Tamandua tetradactyla: one gene and its partner. The protein of the gene in region 2 interacts with the protein of the main gene of each other region in a pairwise test. Links are inferred from orthologs where the notes say so. Each region holds a gene or a part of one and is shown on either strand. Other genes may lie near its edges.

What was found.
Region 1: the proteins of JUNB (region 2) and BATF2 interact in binary tests that used the Homo sapiens proteins (3 or more experiments, as listed by UniProt). The link is inferred for Tamandua tetradactyla from reciprocal best matches to the Homo sapiens genes JUNB and BATF2.

The regions. Positions count from the first base shown.
Region 1 is NC_135335.1:9,567,009-9,577,097, reverse strand, and holds the start of BATF2 (basic leucine zipper transcriptional factor ATF-like 2), read right to left. Parts: upstream 6,261-10,089; 5' UTR 6,218-6,260; intron 5,635-6,217; exon of another isoform or gene 5,519-5,634; 5' UTR 5,345-5,518; intron 685-5,344; exon of another isoform or gene 569-684; 5' UTR 472-568; intron 1-471.
Region 2 is NC_135337.1:89,832,848-89,842,936, reverse strand, and holds JUNB (transcription factor JunB), read left to right. Parts: upstream 1-3,393; 5' UTR 3,394-3,694; coding exon 3,695-4,738; 3' UTR 4,739-5,357; downstream 5,358-10,089. Other genes in the region: PRDX2 (peroxiredoxin-2), read right to left, coding at 7,562-7,647, 8,212-8,342, 8,493-8,615, 9,207-9,360, 9,448-9,550. UniProt on the Homo sapiens protein: Transcription factor involved in regulating gene activity following the primary growth factor response. Binds to the DNA sequence 5'-TGA[GC]TCA-3'.

The DNA.
Region 1 (10,089 bases), on a different chromosome or scaffold from region 2:
GCTGGGGTTCCAGGGCTAGAGACCATGGGTGAAAAAGGGCGACTCCTAAAAGGCCTTGGGGAGCTGTTGGCAGAAGAAGGGGGCCTGGACACTCAGCCGATGCCCCCACTTCTGCCCAGATACAGCTATGAGGAAGCCGCTGCCAGCAGTTATCCCCCGCTTGTCTCTGCACTCAAGCCCGGCACTCTCTCTCTCCTTTGCCTCTCAGCTACCCAAGTTGGGGAGGAAGGTCACCAAGGTCAGGGGCCCACGATAGGAAAGCAAGGCTTGTGCTGAGGGGCATATTCTGGGTGGGTGGCTACTGCTGGGGGGCTGGGGGCAGCAGCATGGTGGGGACTCCCCAGGGCAGAGGGGAAGGGCCCAGGAACGCTCCGTAAAGCTGAGTTCTGCACGCAGCTGCATCACCGAGCAGCTGGGTGACTTCATCTGGGGTTCCATGGCATCGTGACCCCCATCCCACTGTCACGCTACCTGGGCGGAGGGCCCAGGCTGTCTGCCAAAGCTCTGTGCTTCGGATTTCCTGCCGCTCCTCTGACATCCGCATCTTCCCCGGGAAGCTGACTCAAACCTGTGGTTGTGGGCCGGGAGTATAAATAATAAACAGCTGAGCATTTAGGGATCAGCGAGTCTCCCAGAGCTTTGCAGGATGTGGGAGCGGGGACCCCAGTAGTCCAAGCCTCGGCCAGACCTGGGTGCACATCCCTGCTCTGCAGCTTTCTAGCTGTGCTGTGTGGCCTCGGAAGAGGCCCTTGGTTTCTCTGGGCCTGGTTTCTTTCTCTGGAAAATGGAGCTAGTGCCCTTGTTTTGCCAGGTCCTGTCATGAAGACTGGGAGCCCGTGTGGGAAGAGGTCACCGGCCAGCTCGGGAAGGGTGGGTCCCCTCTCTCTTGCCCCCCTTCTCCAGGCTCCGTCTCCCCTTATGCTGTCACAGTCCCAGCGGACTGGTGGCCGAAGCCCAGGGTGGGTGCCCTGCTGAGACCCCGATTGCTGGGAGAGAAAGGACTCTGGCCCTGGCCTTCCTGGGGCCCCTTCCCCTCCCCACACTGCTCTCCCCCTTCCTGTCCTCACTGCTGGCTCCCACAACAGCCCTGGAGAGGCAGGCGTGATTCACGTGGTGATCGGTGTTGGGGAAGGGGCCTGGAGGGGGTCCCCAGGCATGGGGTTGGGGGGAATGAAGCCTGACCCCACCCAGCCAGTGGCTCACAAGGGAACAGGCAGGAGAGCGCTGACCTCTGCGAACAAAGGACCAAGGACGGGCAAGGACTGCAGGGAGCCAGGCAGGTCACGGCCAGAGAATTCTAGAGACAGTTTAGAGATTGTCCAGCCAGTCTCCTTGTTTTACAGCTGGGGAAACTGAGGCTTAGCGAGAGGAGGGGGCTTGGCCAAGTGCAAGGGGGTGGCAGGGCCCGGCTGTCCCATGCTCTGAGGCAGCCCCAGCATGCTGCCCCCACCCCCACCCCTAAAAACATCTCCAGGTCCTGGGGTGGAAATGGTGGGGGACTCAGGGCACCCTGAGAAGGGCAGGAAAGCATTCGAATTTCTCCCAGAGGGCAGGGGTCATGGTTCCTGAGGGAGGGGAGGGGCCCCCCAAAGAAGAAGGGCCAGGGAGGGGGTCTCAGGAGAGCAGGGCTCCCCGCAGCTCCTGTGCTGCCTGGCCTCGCATCCTCTGACTCCTGGCTGTCAAAGCCCCATGCCTGCTGTGGCTGGAGGCGGGGGCCAGCCTGAGCCCCCGCCAGGAGGCAGGGGGACCCGAGGGCCAGAGGTTGGCTATGTTTGTGAGATTGAGGGGACACACCCCAAGTGGAGGCTGGGTGCCGAGGGCACGGGGTCCTGGGTTTCTGTCCCAGTGCTGGCACTCCCCCGCCGTCCTCCCTGGACACCTGTGGGGAGAGGGTGCCTGTGAGAGGCCCCCCTCGGATGGGCTTAGGCTGGGAGCTATGTTGGGCTGGCTGTGAGGCAGGGAGGCCTGGAGGTTAAGAGGAGCTGGAAAAAAAAAAAAAAGGAAACACTAGTGGTCAGTGAGAGGGAGGGGTAAGGGGTATGGCATGTGTGAGTTTTTTCTTTTTGTTTCTTTTTCTGGAGTGATGCAAATGTTTTCAAAAATGATCATGGCTTTCCCCCTAAGATCAGGAACAAGACAAGGATGTCCATTATCACCACTATTATTCAACATCGTGTTGGAGGTTCTAGCCAGAGCAATTAGACAAGAAAAAGAAATACAAGGCATCAAAATTGGAAAGGAAGAAGTAAAACTATCACTGTTTGCAGACGATATGATACTATACGTCGAAAACCCGGAAAAATCCACAACAAAACTACTAGAGCTAATAAATGAGTACAGCAAAGTAGCAGGTTACAAGATCAACATTCAAAAATCTGTAGCATTTCTATACGCTAGCAATGAACAAGCTGAGGGGGAAATCAAGAAATGAATTCCAGGGCGGGCCGCGGTGGCTCAGCGGGCAAAGTGCTTGCCTGCTATGCCGGAGGACCTCGGTTCGATTCCCGGCCCCAGCCCATGTAACAAATACGGAGAAACAGAATACAATAAAACAAGAAAATGTTTAAAGATGTTTCCCTTTCTTCCTTCCTTCCTTCCTTCTATCCTTCCTTCCTTCTGTCTTTCCTTTAAAAAAAAAAAAAAAAAAAAAAAAAAAAAGAAATGAATTCCATTTACAATTGCAACTAAAAGAATAAAATACCTAGGAATAAATTCAACTAAAGAGACAAAAAACCTATACAAAGAAAACTACAAAAAACTGTTAAAAGAAATCACAGAAGACCTAAATAGATGGAAGGGCATACCGTGTTCATGGATTGGAAGACTAAATATAGTTAAGATGTCAATCCTACCTAAATTGATTTACAGATTCAATGCAATACCAATCAAAATCCCAACAACTTATTTTTCAGAAATAGAAAAACCAATAAGCAAATTTATCTGGAAGGGCAGGGTGCCCCGAATTGCTAAAAGTATCTTGAGGAAAAAAAACGAAGTTGGAGGTCTCACGCTGCCAGACTTTAAGGCATATTATGAAGCCACAGTGGTCAAAACAGCATGGTATTGGCATAAAGATAGATATATCGACCAATGGAATCGAATAGAGTGCTCAGATATAGACCCTCTCATCTATGGACATTTGATCTTTGATAAGGCAGTCAAGCCAACTCACCTGGGACAGAGCAGTCTCTTCAATAAATGGTGCCTAGAGAACTGGATATCCATATGCAAAAGAATGAAAGAAGACCCATATCTCACACTTTATACAAAAGTTAACTCAAAATGGATCAAAGATCTAAACATTAGATCTAAGACCATAAAACAGTTAGAGGAAAATGTAGGGAGACATCTTATGAAACTTACATTGGAGGCGGTTTTATGGACCTGAAACCTAAAGCAAGACACTGAAGTAATAAATAAATAAATGGGAGCTCCTCAAAATTAAACACTTTTGTGCATCAAAGAACTTCATCAAGAAAGTAGAAAGACAGCCTACACAATGGGAGACAATATTTGGAAACGACATATCAGATAAAGGTCTAGCATCCAGAATTTATAAAGAGATTGTTCAACTCAACAACAAAAAGACAGCCAACCCAATTACAAAATGGGAAAAAGACTTGAACAGACACCTCTCAGAAGAGGAAATACAAATGGCCAAAAGGCACATGAAGAGATGCTCAATGTCCCTGGCCATTAGAGAAATGCAAATCAAAACCACAATGAGATATCATCTCACACCCACCAGAATGGCCATTATCAACAAAATAGAAAATGACAAGTGCTGGAGAGGATGCGGAGAAAGAGGCACACTTATCCACTGTTGGTGGGAATGTCAAATGGTGCAACCACTGTGGAAGGCAGTTTGACGGTTCCTCAAAAAACTGAATATAGAATTGTCATACGACCCAGCAATACCATTGCTAGGTATCTACTCAAAGGACTTAAGGGCAAAGACACAAACGGACATTTGCACACCAATGTTTACAGCAGCATTATTTACAATTGCAAAGAGATGGAAATAGCCAAAATGTCCATCAACAGAGGAGTGGCTAAACAAACTGTGGTATATACATACGATGGAATATTATGCAGCTTTAAGACAGGATAAACTTATGAAGCATGTAATAACATGGATGGACCTAGAGAACATTATGCTGAGTGAGTCTAGCCAAAAACTAAAAGACAAATACTGTATGGTCCCACTGATGTGAACCGACATTCGAGAATAAACTTGGAATATGTCATAGGTAACAGAGACCATCAGGAGTTAGAAACAGGGTAAGATAATGGGTAATTGGAGCTGAAGGGATACAGACTGTGCAACAGGACTACATACAAAAACTCAAAAATGGACAGCACAATAATACCTAATTGTAAAGAAATCATGTTAAAACACTGAATGAAGCTGCATCTGAGCTATAGTTTTTTTGTTTGTTTGTGTTTTTTGTTTTTTTTTTCTTTTTTATATATTTTTTCAATTTTTTATTTTTATTATTTTTATTTTTTTCTCTATATTATCATTCTATATCTTTTTCTGTTGTTTTGCTAGTTCTTTTCCTAAATCGATGAAAATGTACTAAGAAATGATGATCATACATCTATGTGATGATATTAAGAATTACTGATTGCATATGTAGAATGGAATGATTTCTAAATGTTGTGTTAATTTTTTTTTTAATTAATAAAAAAATGATCATGGCGATGAATATGCTACTATGTGATGATACTGTGAGCCATCGATTGTACACCATGCATGGAATGTTTTTATGTTAAGAATTTTCATGTTCATGTGTTGTTTTGGTTTGATAATACAAAATAAATTAAAAAAAAAAAAAGAAGAAGGATGAGCTGCCTCCACTGTGCTGCCCCCTGCCATGTGCCCTCTTGGCTCACTCGCCCCTTGCCCTGACTCCATCGTCCAGCAAATACCTACAGAACACCAACTGCGGGGCAGGCACCATTCTAGCTGCTGGGGAGGCAGCACAGAAAACAGGAGCACAGTCCCTGCCCTCGTGGCGCTTCCCTTCTAGTGGTGGAAACAATCAGTGTAATAAATTGAGGTTCAGAGGCTGTTAGAAGGCCATAGTGCCTGGGGGGGATGAGAGGAGGTCGGGGAGAGGAGGTGCAGGGCAGGAGAGGAGGGTGGGGAGCCAAGGGGGGCCACCATGGGGGGTCTGCAGGCTGCCTAAGATTTGGGACTCTTCCGGAAGATTCCAGGAGCATGGGAGGGCTCTGGACAGAGAAGGAGCTGATCTGAGGCCCAGCCTTAAAAGGGTGGGGATGATGGGGGGAACTGGGAAACCATCAGTAGGCTCCAGGCACCCAGGAGGCACCTGCTCACCTGTCAAAGTGGAGATGAAGGAACAGCAGGGCCTCCACTACTCCAGGAGCCAGGCAGCAAGTGGCATCGCCTTGCACTTGGTAGGCCGGGCAACGGGTGACGTAGATGTGAGCACAGTTGTTGGAGGAGCTCTTATTTTCATGTCCTTTCCCACTGCCAAGGTTCTGGAAAGGCCTGAGGATGTCATGTGCCCGTGGGTGGATGCCAGAGGGGTGGATAACTGCTCAATCTGTCATCTGGATAACACCTCTGCCTCCCACGCGAGGCAGCTGGGCTGAGACATGCGTGGCCTGAATGTTGTGCATCCCCATTGAATAAGAGAGATAAGGCTTATGAGGAGAGGAGGGGTGGGGGTACTGGAGTGGGCCTGGGGAGAACTGAAGTCTGTTACTTGCCATTTCAGTGTTTAGGGTGCACTGACGCTTTTCCAGGTCTTTGCTTACTAATTGGTGGGACAAATACCTACTCTTTGGTATGCTGCCACCAAGTGCTGGTAAATGTCCCTGCTATGGGCCTGTGTTCCAAAAAATAAGACCTGCATCATGTCTCACCAGAGAAAAAGCATGATTTTTCTTCTCATCTAAACTAAATTTGGCAGGGCTGGGGGTGGGGAATGGGGACTTAATGCTTAATGGGTAGGGTTTCTGTTTGGGGTGATGGAAAAATTTGGGTGAAGGAAGGTGGTGATGGTAAAAAAACATTGTGACTAAAGTGACATCACCAACTTATATATCTGAATGTAGTTAAAAGGGGAAATTTTAGGTTGTATTTATGTTACTAGAATAAATTTTTTTTTTAATGAAATGAGCTAACGAGGTATAAAAAGGAATCGTGGGAGGGGTGCATGGGTAGTTCAGTGGTTAGAATGCCCACCTTTTATGCGGGAGACCCGGGTTCAATTCCCGAAGCAAGCATCTAAAAAAAAAAAAAAGAAATGGAAGGGGACGAGCCTGTCCCTGGCACCACGGGATCAACAATGCCATCTTGACAAAAAGGGGGAAAAGAAGTGTAACAAAGTATCAGTGGCTGAGAGTTCAAATAAAATCGAGAGGCTATTCTGGAGGTCATTCTCATGCAAACTTCAGTTAGACATTGCTATCCGTCATAACTTGCCAACCCCAACCAAACCATTCCTGTCAATCCTAAAGAACACCTAGTGCATTATATAAGATTCTACAAGGTTCCATGCACTAGGGTAAGTTTCCAAAAACCTATAGCCTCCAGATGGGTTCCTGGACCAGACAAGTCCTGAAATGCAGAGAATCCAGCCTCTCCAGAACATCAACTAGTTCCATCCCCCATCCCATATTATTGACAGCCCCTTCCAATATGAAAAAGTTAGAATGGGCATAGCCCAAATACCCCTACAGACTGGGAAAAAGATCCAAGGTGATGGTGGAGTTATACAGAGAAGGTCGGGTTTAACAAATGAGTGTGATTGCTGAATCATTATACTGATATTTCTTTTAGCCTCCAGTACCTTAGAGCAGCTAGAAGTAAAAACCTAAAATTGTGGAATTGTAACCCATACCAAATTCTGAAATCTTTTCTACAATTGTTGCAATGTGCTTTGAAATTTATTGCTTTTTTGTATATATGCTACTTTTCACAAAAAAAGTTGATTGTGATGATTTTATATACATATATATATATATATACACACACACACACACACATATATATTCCTTCTAGCTTCCAATGTCCTGGAGCAGCTAGAAGGAAAAATCTGAGATGATGGTATGGTAGCCCATGACAAACTCTGGGATCTGTCCTCTAACTACTTGTTGAAGAGTGCTTTGAAAATTATTGCTTTTTTCTTTCTTCGCTGTGTATATATGTTATACTATACAATAAAAAAGTTAAAAAAATCTGTTCTATAACTACTCATTAAAATGTACTTGGAAATTGTTTTTTTGTATCTATGTTATATTTCACAATAAAAACATGTTTAAAAAAAGAAAAATAAATGGAGGAACCTTAAATACATATTGCTAAATGAAATGTCAATCTGAAAAAGCTACATACTGCATGATCCCAGCTGCACGCCCCCAAGGCGGAAGTATGTAGAGGGGAAAGTGGTTGCCAGAGGTACAGGAGAAGAGGCTAAAGAGGCAGAGGACGTGGGACATTTAGGGCAGTGAAATTATTCCACATACTTGTGGGCACATGACATTATGCATTTGTCAAAAGTCAGAGAACTATGGACTTAAGTTCATATTGTGTCCATATCGGCTCATCAATTTGTACCACACTAATGTAAGACGCTTGTTACTATGGGGGTCAGGAAGGAGAGGGTTATGTAGGAATTATCTGTACTTTTTGCACAATTTCCTTCTAAACCTGAAACTGCTTTTGAAAAATGAAGTCTATTTTAAAAAAAGAAGTCCTAGGCTTGGGAGCAGCTGAGATGGGAAAGTTTATGTTGCGTATATGTTTCCACAATTTAAAAAAAGAAACTAAAAAGACAATGACAAATGTAATATATGATCCTGGACTGGATCTAATCATGGAAGGGAAAAGGCTCAAAGGATATTATTGGGACACGTGAAAAAAATTACAATACACATTGGAAGCTTTATTTCAATATTGAAATTCTTGAATTTGATAACTGCCCATAAGGTGGTTAATGAATATCCTTGTTCTTAGGAAATGTATACAGAAGCATCAAGTGTTCAAGGAGCATGGTGTATAGAAGCCAGTGTCAAATGTTTAGAAAATAGACAGGCAGATGGACGGCTGGACAGAAAGAATGATATGGCAAATGTGGCAAAATGTGGATGTGGATATCTGGATGGGAATATGTTGGAGTTCTCTGCACAGGTTTTATATTACTTTAGCAACTGGCCTGTAGGTTGAACTTATTCAAAAATAAAAAGGTTTTTTCATTTGTTTGTTTGTTTGTTTGTGTTTGTTTTTTGCATGGGCAGGTACCAGGAATGGAACCCGGGACTCCGGCATGGCAGGCGAGAATTCTTGCCATTGAGCCACCATGGCCTGCTCCAAATAAAAAAGTTTTTAAAAATGGGAAACGTTATAAGGGTTACTATATTAAAATTTAATAAAAATGAACTAACTTTATTTTAAGCAACCAAATGTGATCATTTTAGTTTGAAAGACTCAAATAGAAAATTCCTTTTAGAGAAAGTGTAAAAAAAATTCTTTGGTATATATATACACCAAAGAATTTTTTTATATATATATATACAAACTTCTTGCTAATGCTTAACAATCAGCAATTATATTTAACTTGGGTCTTCTCCCTGGCTTTTGTTTTTTTCCGCCGGACAAAAGGGTTTTGGGGTTTTTCCTTGTTGACTATAAAGGTGATCTATGGAGTGGATTGGCTGGATCAAAAAGGCTATCACTTTTTAAATTAAAACTATAATGCCAAATTGTTCTCCACAGACAATGGCTAAAGCATGCCTTATAAAAAGATGCCCAGAATTCTATCCTCAAGTTGGAGCCCACATAGCTCACAAAAGTTCCTCCTTCAAAAGCAGGCTTCATAGCTGTCAGGATTTGGGTATTTTCATTTCAAGATTCTGTTTTGTGGGAGAAAAATTATATATATATATATATATATATACACACACACACACACATACATACACACACAGAGTTATACGTTATTATATAATTACAGCTCTATATATCTTCTTTCCCAGTTGTCTTCCAAAGGTATTCCCCAAAGATTTTATTTCTTTGAATTTTTTTCTTCTTCTCAAGAGGACAAGAAAAACACTGCCTGTGACAGTGTTTTATTTTACTTTTTATATTTTTATTGAGAAAGTTTTACACACTTACAGTCCATCCATAGTATACAATCAGTGGCTCACAATATCATAACATAGATGTTTATTCATCACCATGATCGTTTTTTAGAACATCTGCAGCACTCCAGAAAAAGAAATAAAAAGAAAAAAGAAAAACTCATATATCCCATTCCCCTCTCTCATTGGCCACTAGCGTTTCAATCTATGCAATTTTTTTACCCCTTTATTCCCCCCCCATTATTTATTTTTTTACTCATCTATAAATGCCCTGGATAAAGGGAGCATCAGACACAAGGTTTCACAATCACACAATCACACTGTAAAAACAATATCGTTATTCAATCATAAGAATACAAAAGAATAACCTCCAGGATAACCTCTCAACTCTGTACGAAATCTCTCAGCCTCTGAAACTTTATTTTGTCTCATTTTGCTCTTCCCCCTTTTGGTCAAGAAGCCTTTCTCAATCCCATCATGCCGGGTCCTGGCTCATTCCAGGAGTTCTGTCCCATGTTGCCAGGGATATCTGTACACCTGGGAGTCATGCCCCTGTAGGGGGAAGGGCAGTGAGTTCACTTGCCAAGTTGGCTTAGAGAGAGAGAGGTCACATCTGAGCAACAAAAGAGGTTCTCTGGGGTGACTTTAAGGCATAATTACAAGTAGGCCTAGCTTCTTCTTTGCAGGAATAAGTTTCTTAGGGGTGAAGCCCAAGATTAAGGGCTCAGTCTATTAAATTGATTGGTCTTCCTCACTGCTTGTGAGAATATCAATAATTCCCCAGATGTGGAAACTGACTATTTTCTCCTTTCTCCCCAGTTCCCCAAGGGAACTTTGCAAATGCTTTTTCATTCTTTGTCCACATTACTTTGGGATATATGGACTAACCTGCACTAACCTGCACCAACCAACAAGACCTCATGCCCTATTCAAGATTCCATGTAATTATGGTGGTCAAATAAACTGACCATACAG
Region 2 (10,089 bases):
ACACTCCACGGCACGGCACCCTCTGGGCACCCATCCTGCACCCAACTCCTCCTCTCTCTGGATACAGGAGACCCTTTGTGAAAGGGCCTGCAGAGCTTGGCATACAGTTGGTGCTGCATAAAGGCTCCTTGCCCCCTCATTCTGATTCTCCAGAGCTCTGATCCCCTGCCTGTTTTTCTCTTGGGACCCTGGAGCCAAACTCTTTGGGTTATATCCCAACTCCACCCCTCATAACTGTGGGACACTGGGCAAGTTCTGGAACCTTCTGTGCCTCAGTTTCTCCTCTGTTAAATGGGGAGACCAAGAGACTTTATTTTGCTGGGTTGCTGCAAGCGTCTAATGACTGACTATACGTAAATCACTTAGAAGCACCATATAAGTGCTAGCTATTAAAGGGATAATTATTATTTCTCCATCTGTCTTCTTACCTGAAGTGTCTGGGAGTCTGTCTCTGTCTCCAGGACGCTAACCCTGCCCCTGTCTGTCTCCCTGCCCTGACCCCAACCCCCAAACACCTACTCTTCCTTGCTCCACACTCTGGGACTTGCCCTCTGTCCCTTGCTGGCACAGCTTTGCCCCTGCAGGGCTCTTCCCCACACACCTCACCCCAGGTCTGAGTTACAATTGGCCTATGGGACCTGCAGGTCAACTTCCCAAGGTGCTGCTGCCCTCTGGCCTACCCTGCCCAGCCCCCCCAACGCTGCCCGCTGCGCCCCCACCGGGCCAGATGTCAGCTGCAGTTATTAGCATGGGCGGGAGACACAGGCCTGGCAGCGCGCCGGTCAGACTCAGCCACCAGCAGCCGCCGCCGGAATCTCCCCGAGACTGGGGCGGGGGAGGGGAGCCGGTAGTGCAAGGGGAAGAGGGGTGGGGGGTACTCTTATGGGTGACAGGGACCCTTCAGAGATGGGGACGCCCCCAGCTTTGCATGGGATCTTCTCCCCTCCCTACCCCGCCAGGCTACCACTTTGCTGGACTTCCCCTGCCCCCATACAGCTCAGTTTCTCTTTCGGCTCTGTCATTTTCCTTCTCTCCCCTACCCTGGACCACCTCTGTGCCTGCCAGCCCTAGACTCTCAGCCTGCCTCTATCCCAAAAGGGCTTCCATCCTCCCAGAAGACAGAGTTTGGGAGGCTCAGAGAGGGAGCTGCTCTCCTGAGCAAGCCCAGCCTCCACCTCACCTCTCCCAGAGGTCCACACCCTAGGTGCTTGGAAGTCCCATCTTAAGTCTAACTAGAAGCCTCACTATCTGAATCTCTACCCAGTTTTCCTTGGGAAAGGGTGCTGTGTTTCTTCCCGTTCTCTCCTTGGATTTTTAGGTCCTCTCTGATTGTGGGGGGAGGTGTCCCTGTGGGGAGGGGGGACCTCCTCAGGAGGGAATGGAGACCCCCTCCAGGCATTCTAGATGGGAGATGGGAACCGCTGGCTAAGACGCAAGGGGAGCCCTAGCCTACAAGAGCCAGGGAGTGGCGCCCCAGGAGTGTGTGTCTGAGGGTTTGGGGGAGCGCCCAGACCTCCTGGCAGAGGGGAAGGGCACCCCGCCCGGAGGAAGGAGGCAGCAGTGCCAGCCCGCCCAGGCGCCGGGGCGCCTCCAGGCATTGCCCAGCCTCCTTGGTGCCCCGTCGGGCCGGGGGCGAAGTCCGACCCAGGCCCGCGGGCAGGCGGGGACCTGCCTGGCTGGACCCGGCAGGACGCGGCCCCAGAGCGGCTGGGCGGGGCGGGGCCGGGCGGCCGTCGGGGCCCTGGGGGCGGAGGTCGGGGCTGGTCGGGACTAGCCGTCCGGGGGCCCAGGGCGCCCTGGGACCTGGCAGATCCCCGGGCTCCCGGCTCCGGGCTGGGGGCCCCGGGACGGCGCAGGCCCCACCCCTTCCTGTGACCTTATATGGGCGTGGGGTGGGGGTGGGGGGAGACTCCAGGGGCCGCCCGGCACCCAGTCCTGCCAGCGGACTCCGGCCTGTTGCCATGGCGACCAGGCCCCGCTCCCCAGGCTACTCCCCGTTCGGTGGGGCCAATGGAACCATCCCCGCGTTGTCTGCCCGCGCCGCGGACGGAACCATTCCCGGAGCGGGGGGCGGTGGCACCGACGAGCTCGGCGCGGCCAGGCCTCGGCGGGGGTCGCGCGTCCGGCTTCTTCTTCCCAGGCGCGGAGCCCGGGCGGGGCGCACGGTCCCGGAGGATCCGAGTGACGGAGGCAGGGCCGGGCTCCTTCCCCGGGGGCTGTTGCCACACTTCCTGCCGCCACGCTCTTTCCCCAGCCTGTTTCTAAGGAAGGGAGTGGGGCAGCGAGGCCGCGCCCCAGCCGTCGGGCTGGGTCCCAACTCCAGGACCCAACACGGTGTCGGGCGACCACAGGGTCACTGGGGGAAGGGCATCGGATTGGGGACAGAGTATTGGGGTGCCACGGGTCACGCACTGGAGTGGGGGTTGGGGTGGGGCTCGAGTCATGGAACGCCCAGCACGTCCCGTTCCCAGGATCCTAGAAGCCCCCTCTCTTCCTGCTTGCCCCAGCTGGGGACCCTCCCGTCATTGTCCTCTAAGCTCCAAAGATGTGCCTCGACCCCTTTCTAACTCTAGTCCATCAAGGCTTCTCAGATGGCCCCTAATCCCCAACCTAGCCCCTCGGACAGGCATGTCTCATATTCTACTCCACATATTTCCCCAGACCCAAAATGTACCCCAAGACCCTAACCCACTTTCTATATATCTAGAGCCCCCAACTCCTTCCCCTCCCCACTTAAGGGGACCCTCAGACTCTGCCATGGACGTGAGGATCCCTACTAGTTCCCTGCCTAATGGGTTGTCCACCCCTTCCCCCGTGTGCCTGTAATTCTCTCCCCTCCTCTCTGGGCCTGCGTTAAGCCCCTCCTGTGAAAATTTCCTCTGCGATCCTCACTCAATTCCTGGGACAGGTATCTCCTTACTCCTCTGCATTTACCCTGTTTAACCCTCCTCTGCCTACTTTTTGGGTGCTCACAGTGTATTCTCAGCACCCCCTCCCCAACCCCTCTCTGACACTCGGGGTCCCTCAAACCTTTCCACGTTCGCCCTGGGACACCACCCCCACCCCAGCCTCGGCTCCTGGCCCTCGAATCTCTCCCCGGGTACTCCTGGGGAAGCATCGCCCTCCTCGCAGCCCCTCCCCGGTGTACATCGGGCCCCCTAGCAGCCCTGCTTCGCGTACCCCTGGGTCCTCCAGCCCCTCCCCGTGAAGCCGCGCCGCGCCACCCGGCCCGTGGCCGCTGTTTACAAGGACACGCGCTTCCTGACAGTGACGCGAGCCGCCTCCTCCCCTTCCCCACGCTCCGGGAGGGGGGCGCGGGGGCCCGGCTCTGGCGACGGCCAATCGGGGCGCACTTCCGCAGCTGACAAGCGTCGTATAAAGGCGGGCGGCTCCAGCCCAGCAGCAGGGACCTTGAGCGCGGCCGGGCCAGCGTCGGAGACAGCCGGGAGCGGAGGGGCAGTGGGAAAGCGAACGCCGAGAAAGCGAGCGCGCCCGAGGAGGGCGAGAGGGGCTTGGGCAGGCGGGCAGAGCTCCCGCGCACAGCCGCTGGCTGGCCGCCCCCCGCCGGTGCGGGACCCCGGGAACGCGCGTCCAGACACGCGATCCAGCCACCTCCGCGGACAGCGAGCAGCTCGCTGCAGCGAGGCCCGGGGCGGCCCCGCAGGGACCCCCCCAGCCCGCCCGGGCCGCCCGGATGTGCACTAAAATGGAACAGCCCTTCTACCACGACGACTCGTACGCGGCGGCAGGCTACGGCCGGGCCCCTGGCGGCCTCTCCCTACACGACTACAAACTGCTGAAACCCAGCCTGGCGCTCAACCTGGCGGATCCCTACCGGGGCCTTAAAGCGCCCGGGGCGCGCGGTCCCGGCCCGGAGGGCAGCGGTGGCGGCAGCTACTTTTCCGGCCAGGGCTCGGACACCGGTGCGTCGCTCAAGCTCGCCTCGTCGGAGCTGGAGCGCCTGATAGTCCCCAACAGCAACGGCGTGATCACGACGACGCCCACGCCGCCGGGACAGTACTTTTACCCCCGCGGGGGCGGCAGCGGCGGAGGGGCGGGGGGCGCAGGGGGCAGCGTCACCGAGGAGCAAGAGGGCTTCGCCGACGGCTTCGTCAAAGCTCTGGACGACCTGCACAAAATGAACCACGTGACGCCCCCCAACGTGTCCCTGGGCACCAGCGGGGGGCCCCCGGCCGGGCCCGGGGGTGTCTACGCGGGCCCGGAGCCGCCTCCCGTCTACACCAACCTCAGCAGCTACTCCCCGGCCTCTGCGCCCTCCGGAGGCGCCGGGGCGGCGGTCGGGACCGGGAGCTCGTACCCGACGGCCACTATCAGCTACCTCCCTCACGCGCCGCCCTTCGCCGGCGGCCACCCGGCGCAGCTGGGCCTGGGTCGCGGCGCCTCGGCCTTCAAGGAGGAACCGCAGACCGTGCCCGAGGCGCGCAGCCGCGACGCCACACCGCCGGTGTCCCCAATCAACATGGAAGACCAGGAGCGCATCAAAGTGGAGCGCAAACGGCTGCGGAACCGGCTGGCCGCCACCAAGTGCCGGAAGCGGAAGCTGGAGCGCATCGCGCGCCTGGAGGACAAGGTGAAGACGCTCAAGGCCGAGAACGCGGGGCTGTCGAGCACCGCCGGCCTCCTCCGGGAGCAAGTGGCCCAGCTCAAACAGAAGGTCATGACCCACGTCAGCAACGGCTGCCAACTGCTGCTCTCGGTCAAGGGCCACGCCTTCTGAGCGCCCCCCCTGGACGGACACCCACCCACCCCAGCCTGGACGGCTGGGTGCACTCCTCCCACGGGGGCGAGGGGACAGGCGGTGGGCACCGGCCCCGGGGGCCTTGGGGACGCCGCCAACCACACTGGACTCCCGCCCGCCAGCCGGCGCGCTGCTCCCACTCCATCCACCTCGAGGTTTACAGACTCCGAGCTCCACGTTTATTATTATTATTTTTTTTGTATTTTTTTTTTCTGCTGGAAACAGACTCAATTCATATTGAATATAATATATTTGTGTATTTAACAGGGAAGGAGGGAGGGAGGGGGCGACCGCGGCGGAGCTGGCCCCGCCGCCCGGTACTCCAGCCCGCGGGGACACTGGGGAGGGGACCCCCGCCCCCTGCCCTCCCCCCCAACTGCATCGTACTGTGGAGAAGAAACACGCACTTGGTCTCTAAAGAGTTTATTTTAAGATGTGTTTGTGTGTGTGTGTGCGTTTGTTGTTCTGACTTTTTATTGAATTTATTTAAGTAAAAAAAAAAAAAAGGTTCTTTATTAATTTCTGGAGTCATTTTTTTCCCCCCAATGTCAGGAGGGAGGACGAGGAGGAGGGAAGGGGAGAAGGCTGCTCCCCCAGTGCTGTGCGTGGCTCGCTCCGCATCTGTGCCACCCTCCCCAGCACGGACCCTGTCTCCGGCCCTCCCCGCGGTCCCGGGTCGCGCGCGGGAGGGGCGGAATGCGCAGGCGCGGGAGGCGCGATTCGCGCAGGCGCGGCCCCGCCCCGCCGCGCGCGCCGGGGCTTTCCCCGCTGACGCAGCGGAAGAGCTGCCCATATATGGGCCGATTCTGCCCAGTGACGCGCAGGCCGTCTCCGGGCAGATTCCGGGAATCCCCTCCCCCGCTCTGCCGGGCAGGGCCGCGGCGCCGGGAAGGGGGCCGGGATTTTCCCAGGCGGGCCGGCTACTCGGGCCCGGAAAGCCCCAAGCCGGGGTCCAGCGCACCCGCGGTGGGCGGGCCTCGCCCTTTCGGGTTGGCGCCGCGCCGCGCCCCCCCCCCCACCCCGCCTTCTCCCTAGGACCCGACCCGGGCGCGGGGGCTGCGGCAGTCTCCGCGCCGTTGCGCCGCCCTGCCCCGCCACCCCCGCCAGGAAGGGCGGCGCCCGCTTGCCAGCTTCCCCTCCCGGGTGCCAGGCCCGGAGCGGGGCTGTTGCCAGGTCTGGTCCTGCCGGGGCGGCTGCTCGGGCCGCCGGGCACCACCCCCGCCCTCGCACGCACGGGGCAGGCTCCCCCACCCCGTAGCTGGGGCGGGAGAGGACGCGGCCGCGCCCCCGGGGTAGGGGGGATCTGTCCAGTGTCCAAGCTGGGAAGCCCCCAGAAACGCGGAGGAAAACCTAAGCCGCGGGGACTGGGGTGGTGGTGGGTGGTGGTGAGTGGGTGGCGGTAAAACCTGCAACTTAATGAATTCCTTTCTACAAGTTTGAACCACTGGGTCCAGGAGACACCGCCTGGCCCAAGAGAGACAGACTATAACCAACAAGCAGACATGATCGTGTGCTAGGAAGCAAACAAACAAACAGCTCCAGGGGGTAGGGTGGTGGTGGTGGTGGGGAAGCTGGCCTTTCCTTGATTTCAATAAGGGGACCCTGAGAAAATTCCAGGGAAAAGCATTCTCGTCAGAGGAAAGGGCATATGCAAAGTTCCTGTGGCCAGAAAAAGAACACCCTGTTAAGGAACAGCAAGAAGTTAGTGTAGCTGGGATGACCTGAGCCATAGGATGTGGTGGGGAGAGGAAATCACTGCCTCATTAGCCTTAGAGAGGAATGTAAATTATATTCCCAGGGAGATGAGTGAACCTTCGAGGATTATTAGACTGGGGAGCACTATCAGAATTGGTCTGTGGATAAAACGAGACTATCAGCCCTGTTCGGTAGAATCAAGTCGGGGCCCAGAGTGGCAAAGTCACTTGCCTGAACACACACAGCAAACTGCACAGCAGCATGGTAATTTGGAACACTGCCCTGCCCCTGACACCAGCCTTGATGTTTGACCCCAGGAGCAGACAGGCAGCCCCCTTCCAAGCCTGGGGTGGGACAGAGCCCCCCCCCCCCCCCCCCCGGGGTTGTGTGGGTTTCCCAACCCTCCAGGAGGAGGTCTCTGTCCTCTTCCTTGTAAGACTGGGCTACAGCCTGCCCCTGGCAGCCATCACGGTAACTAACCTAGTAACCAGGTCTGGACCAGGGTCCCCACCCTAGGCTTGGCACACTTTGCCTCCTTTAACTCAGGCTGCTAGTCTTGACCCCATTTTACTGGGATGCAGGGAAGGTGGTGGCTATTCAACAGCATTTGAACCCGGGCTGGCTGATAGGCCATGCTCTGTCCTGCCTGGCCAGGATTCAGCATGTCACACAGCCTGGGATTGCTCCCTGCAAGGGGCAAACACCCCAGTTCCCCCAGTCCCCCCTCCTGCCAAGGAAGAACAAGTAGAGGGAGCATGAAGTAAGGCTGCCACCTTGTGGTGGCGGTAAATAACTACAGGATCAGTTTCCCAGACAGGAGGCCTGAGACACCACTTGGTGGGGGTGGGGCAGGGGGAGGGGAAGACAGACTAACACACCCAGACACACTCACATCTGTCCCTAACACTTTATTGGTTCCCCCCAAGCCTGTGCCCAGCTGAGTGGGATCTGGGCAGAGGGGATTTCTCAGGTCCCAGGTGGGGGCATCAGAAGAACCTTGGGGCCCCAAACCGGGAAGCTACAGGGGTCTTTCCTAGGGTCAGCACTGGGCACCCAGGCAGCGGCGTGGCTGAGGGCAGAGGGCCCAAGCTTCACCCGCCTGCTGGCCTAGTTGTGCTTGGCGAAGTATTCCTTGCTGTCATCCACGTTGGGCTTGATTGTGTCGCTGCCCGGCTTCCAGCCCGCGGGACAGACTGTGGAAGACATGAGAACTGATGTGTGAGCCTACAGCCCCATTTTCCAGGTAGAGGCAGGGGGGAGGGAGGAACAGATACAAAGCAAGGGCCTGAGTTGCAGTAGAAAAACCTAAGAACCAATTGGTCCAGGCTCAAAAAGAGAAGCCCCATCCCATCACCCTCCAAGCACCTGTTTATCCTCACAGGCCCAGCTGCAGTATCTTCTGCCTCATCATTTTCCTTCTCTTATTCTCACTTGCTTTTTGGTGTTTTCAACCCCATGTCTCACCCTCAGCCCCAGTGCTACTGGACTTGAGCATCTACATTCAGACTCTTTAACCAGGATCCAACTAACATACCCCAAGCCTAATGTGCTATATGCAACCTCGAATACCTTCTATGGTTCCCTATGACCTCCCAGCTGCGCACCCTTACAAGGAGGCATCTCCTCCACCAGACTAGAAACTCCTTGAGCTGAACCTTCTTTGGGGGCCCTAACATGCCCCTACCCCTGCTCAGGTGATAGGGCAGGCAGTGATTGTTTGCAAGAGCCACTGAGAGGCTCTCTGTGTGTCCACTCACCTTCGCCATGCTCATCCGTGTACTGGAAGGCCTGGACTAGGCGTAGGGCCTCTTCCACGGAGCGTCCCACGGGCAAGTCATTCACTGTGATCTGACGAAGGATTCCCTTGCCATCGATGATAAACAGGCCCCTGAAGACATCAGGGTTCAGTAGTGAGGAGCTGGGACACTCCCTGTGGCCAGGAGCTGGAGGGAGCATGGACCACCTCCAGCCACAGAGCTGGGGATAGAGGGGAAATGGGAAGGGGGCTCCCTGAGGGTGGGGGAGGGTCCCTCAGTACCTGTAAGCAATGCCCTCATCTTCCTTCAACACCCCATAATCATGGGACAGGCTTCTGGTCACGTCAGCCAGCAGGGGGATGTTCAGCGGGCCCAAGCCTCCCTCTTTCCGCGGGGTGTTGATCCTGGGGGTGGGGGAGACAGGGCTGGGGCCTCAGGAGGTCCCACACAGTGAGATCCTTACCCTTTGCGCCTGGGTGATAAGGGCTGGAGTGGGATGCTGGAGGCAGGAGATATTGGGGCCCTGGGAGTACCACCCACCCCACCCTGAACTGGGTGCAGGAGCTGTTTCCCACAGCTGGGAAGACTAAAGCCCCTGCACTCATGTGCAGGCTTATGCTCCAGCAAATCCTCTTTAGGCATCCTCATGGCCTCCAGCCTGAGGCAGGGATCCTGCCATCACATCTCCATCCTCCTTCCCTTCCTGGAACTGGACTTTCCACCTTCAAGTACTAAGGCAATCCCGCCTTCCTCCCAGGGACTATAGGGAAAAAAAGCATGTGCAACTCCCAAGCCAAGCAGCTCGTTTCCACATGCTCATTGCTGTCAGCAATCCTTAATGACCAGGGTGTTTTCCATGGAAATAATTTCCGTGATTCTCAAGGTGGTGAAAGGGAGGGTAAGAGGTTGAGCAACGGCGAGGCCAGCACGGACGACGCTAGGATGGGAACCTAGTTGCGCCCCACCCTCCCCCTCCCCCCAGTCCCGGCTCCTACCAAGCTAGGTGGGTGAACTGGGAATCGACAGAGGCTCCTAGCACCTCGCAGCCCAGCTTGCGGAAGTCCCCGGCACGCTCGCTGAAAGCGATGATTTCGGTGGGACAAACGAAGGTGAAGTCCAAGGGGTAGAAGAAAAGGACCACGTACTTCCCTGGGTTGGGGGTGGGAGTGGAGAGGTCGCGCGTTAAGGCCCAGGCCTCCTTCTGCCCGGGCCCCACCCGCACCTGGGGTCCCTCACCTCTGTAGTCCGAAAGCTTCACCTCCTGGAAGGCGCCGTCCACCACGGCCGTGGCGTGGAAATCCGGGGCGGGCTTCCCGATGTGCGCGTGGCCGGAGGCCATGGCTGAAAGCTGAGACCCCCACGCCCCACCCCCAGCCGGGTCAGCGCGCCCCGGAGGCCCCTTTGTCCTCCTTTCCCAAGGTCACACTGCGTGCGGACCGCGGAGACCGAGCGAGAGCGGCGCAGCCGGCAGCGGTGACCCCCTCCCTCCCCGGTACCGGGTATTGCGCGGCCCCGAGGCTGCTGGGGACCCGGCCCCCTTGACCGCGGCACGTGCGGCCTGGCCGCTACCGCCGGGTCCCCAGTTCGCGCGTCGGAGGGAGCGCGGTGGCTGCGGGGTCCCCACCCAGTGCCGGGAGGAGACGGCAAGGGCCCCCGCGAGCAGGGGGCGGGGACTCCGGCCGCCCGGCCTCGGTTTCCCCTGCAAGGACAAAGGCGGCCGCTGCAGAGGGCGGAAAACAAAGGGCGGCCAGCGATCGGTCCGGATTCCGGCGGGGGCGGCTGGGAAGGGGCTCCTTCCCGAGCCCGGTGCACCCGGGGTGGCGGTACCTGCGTGGACACGGGCGGGACGCACGGACGCAGCAGAAGCGCGGCCTCGGA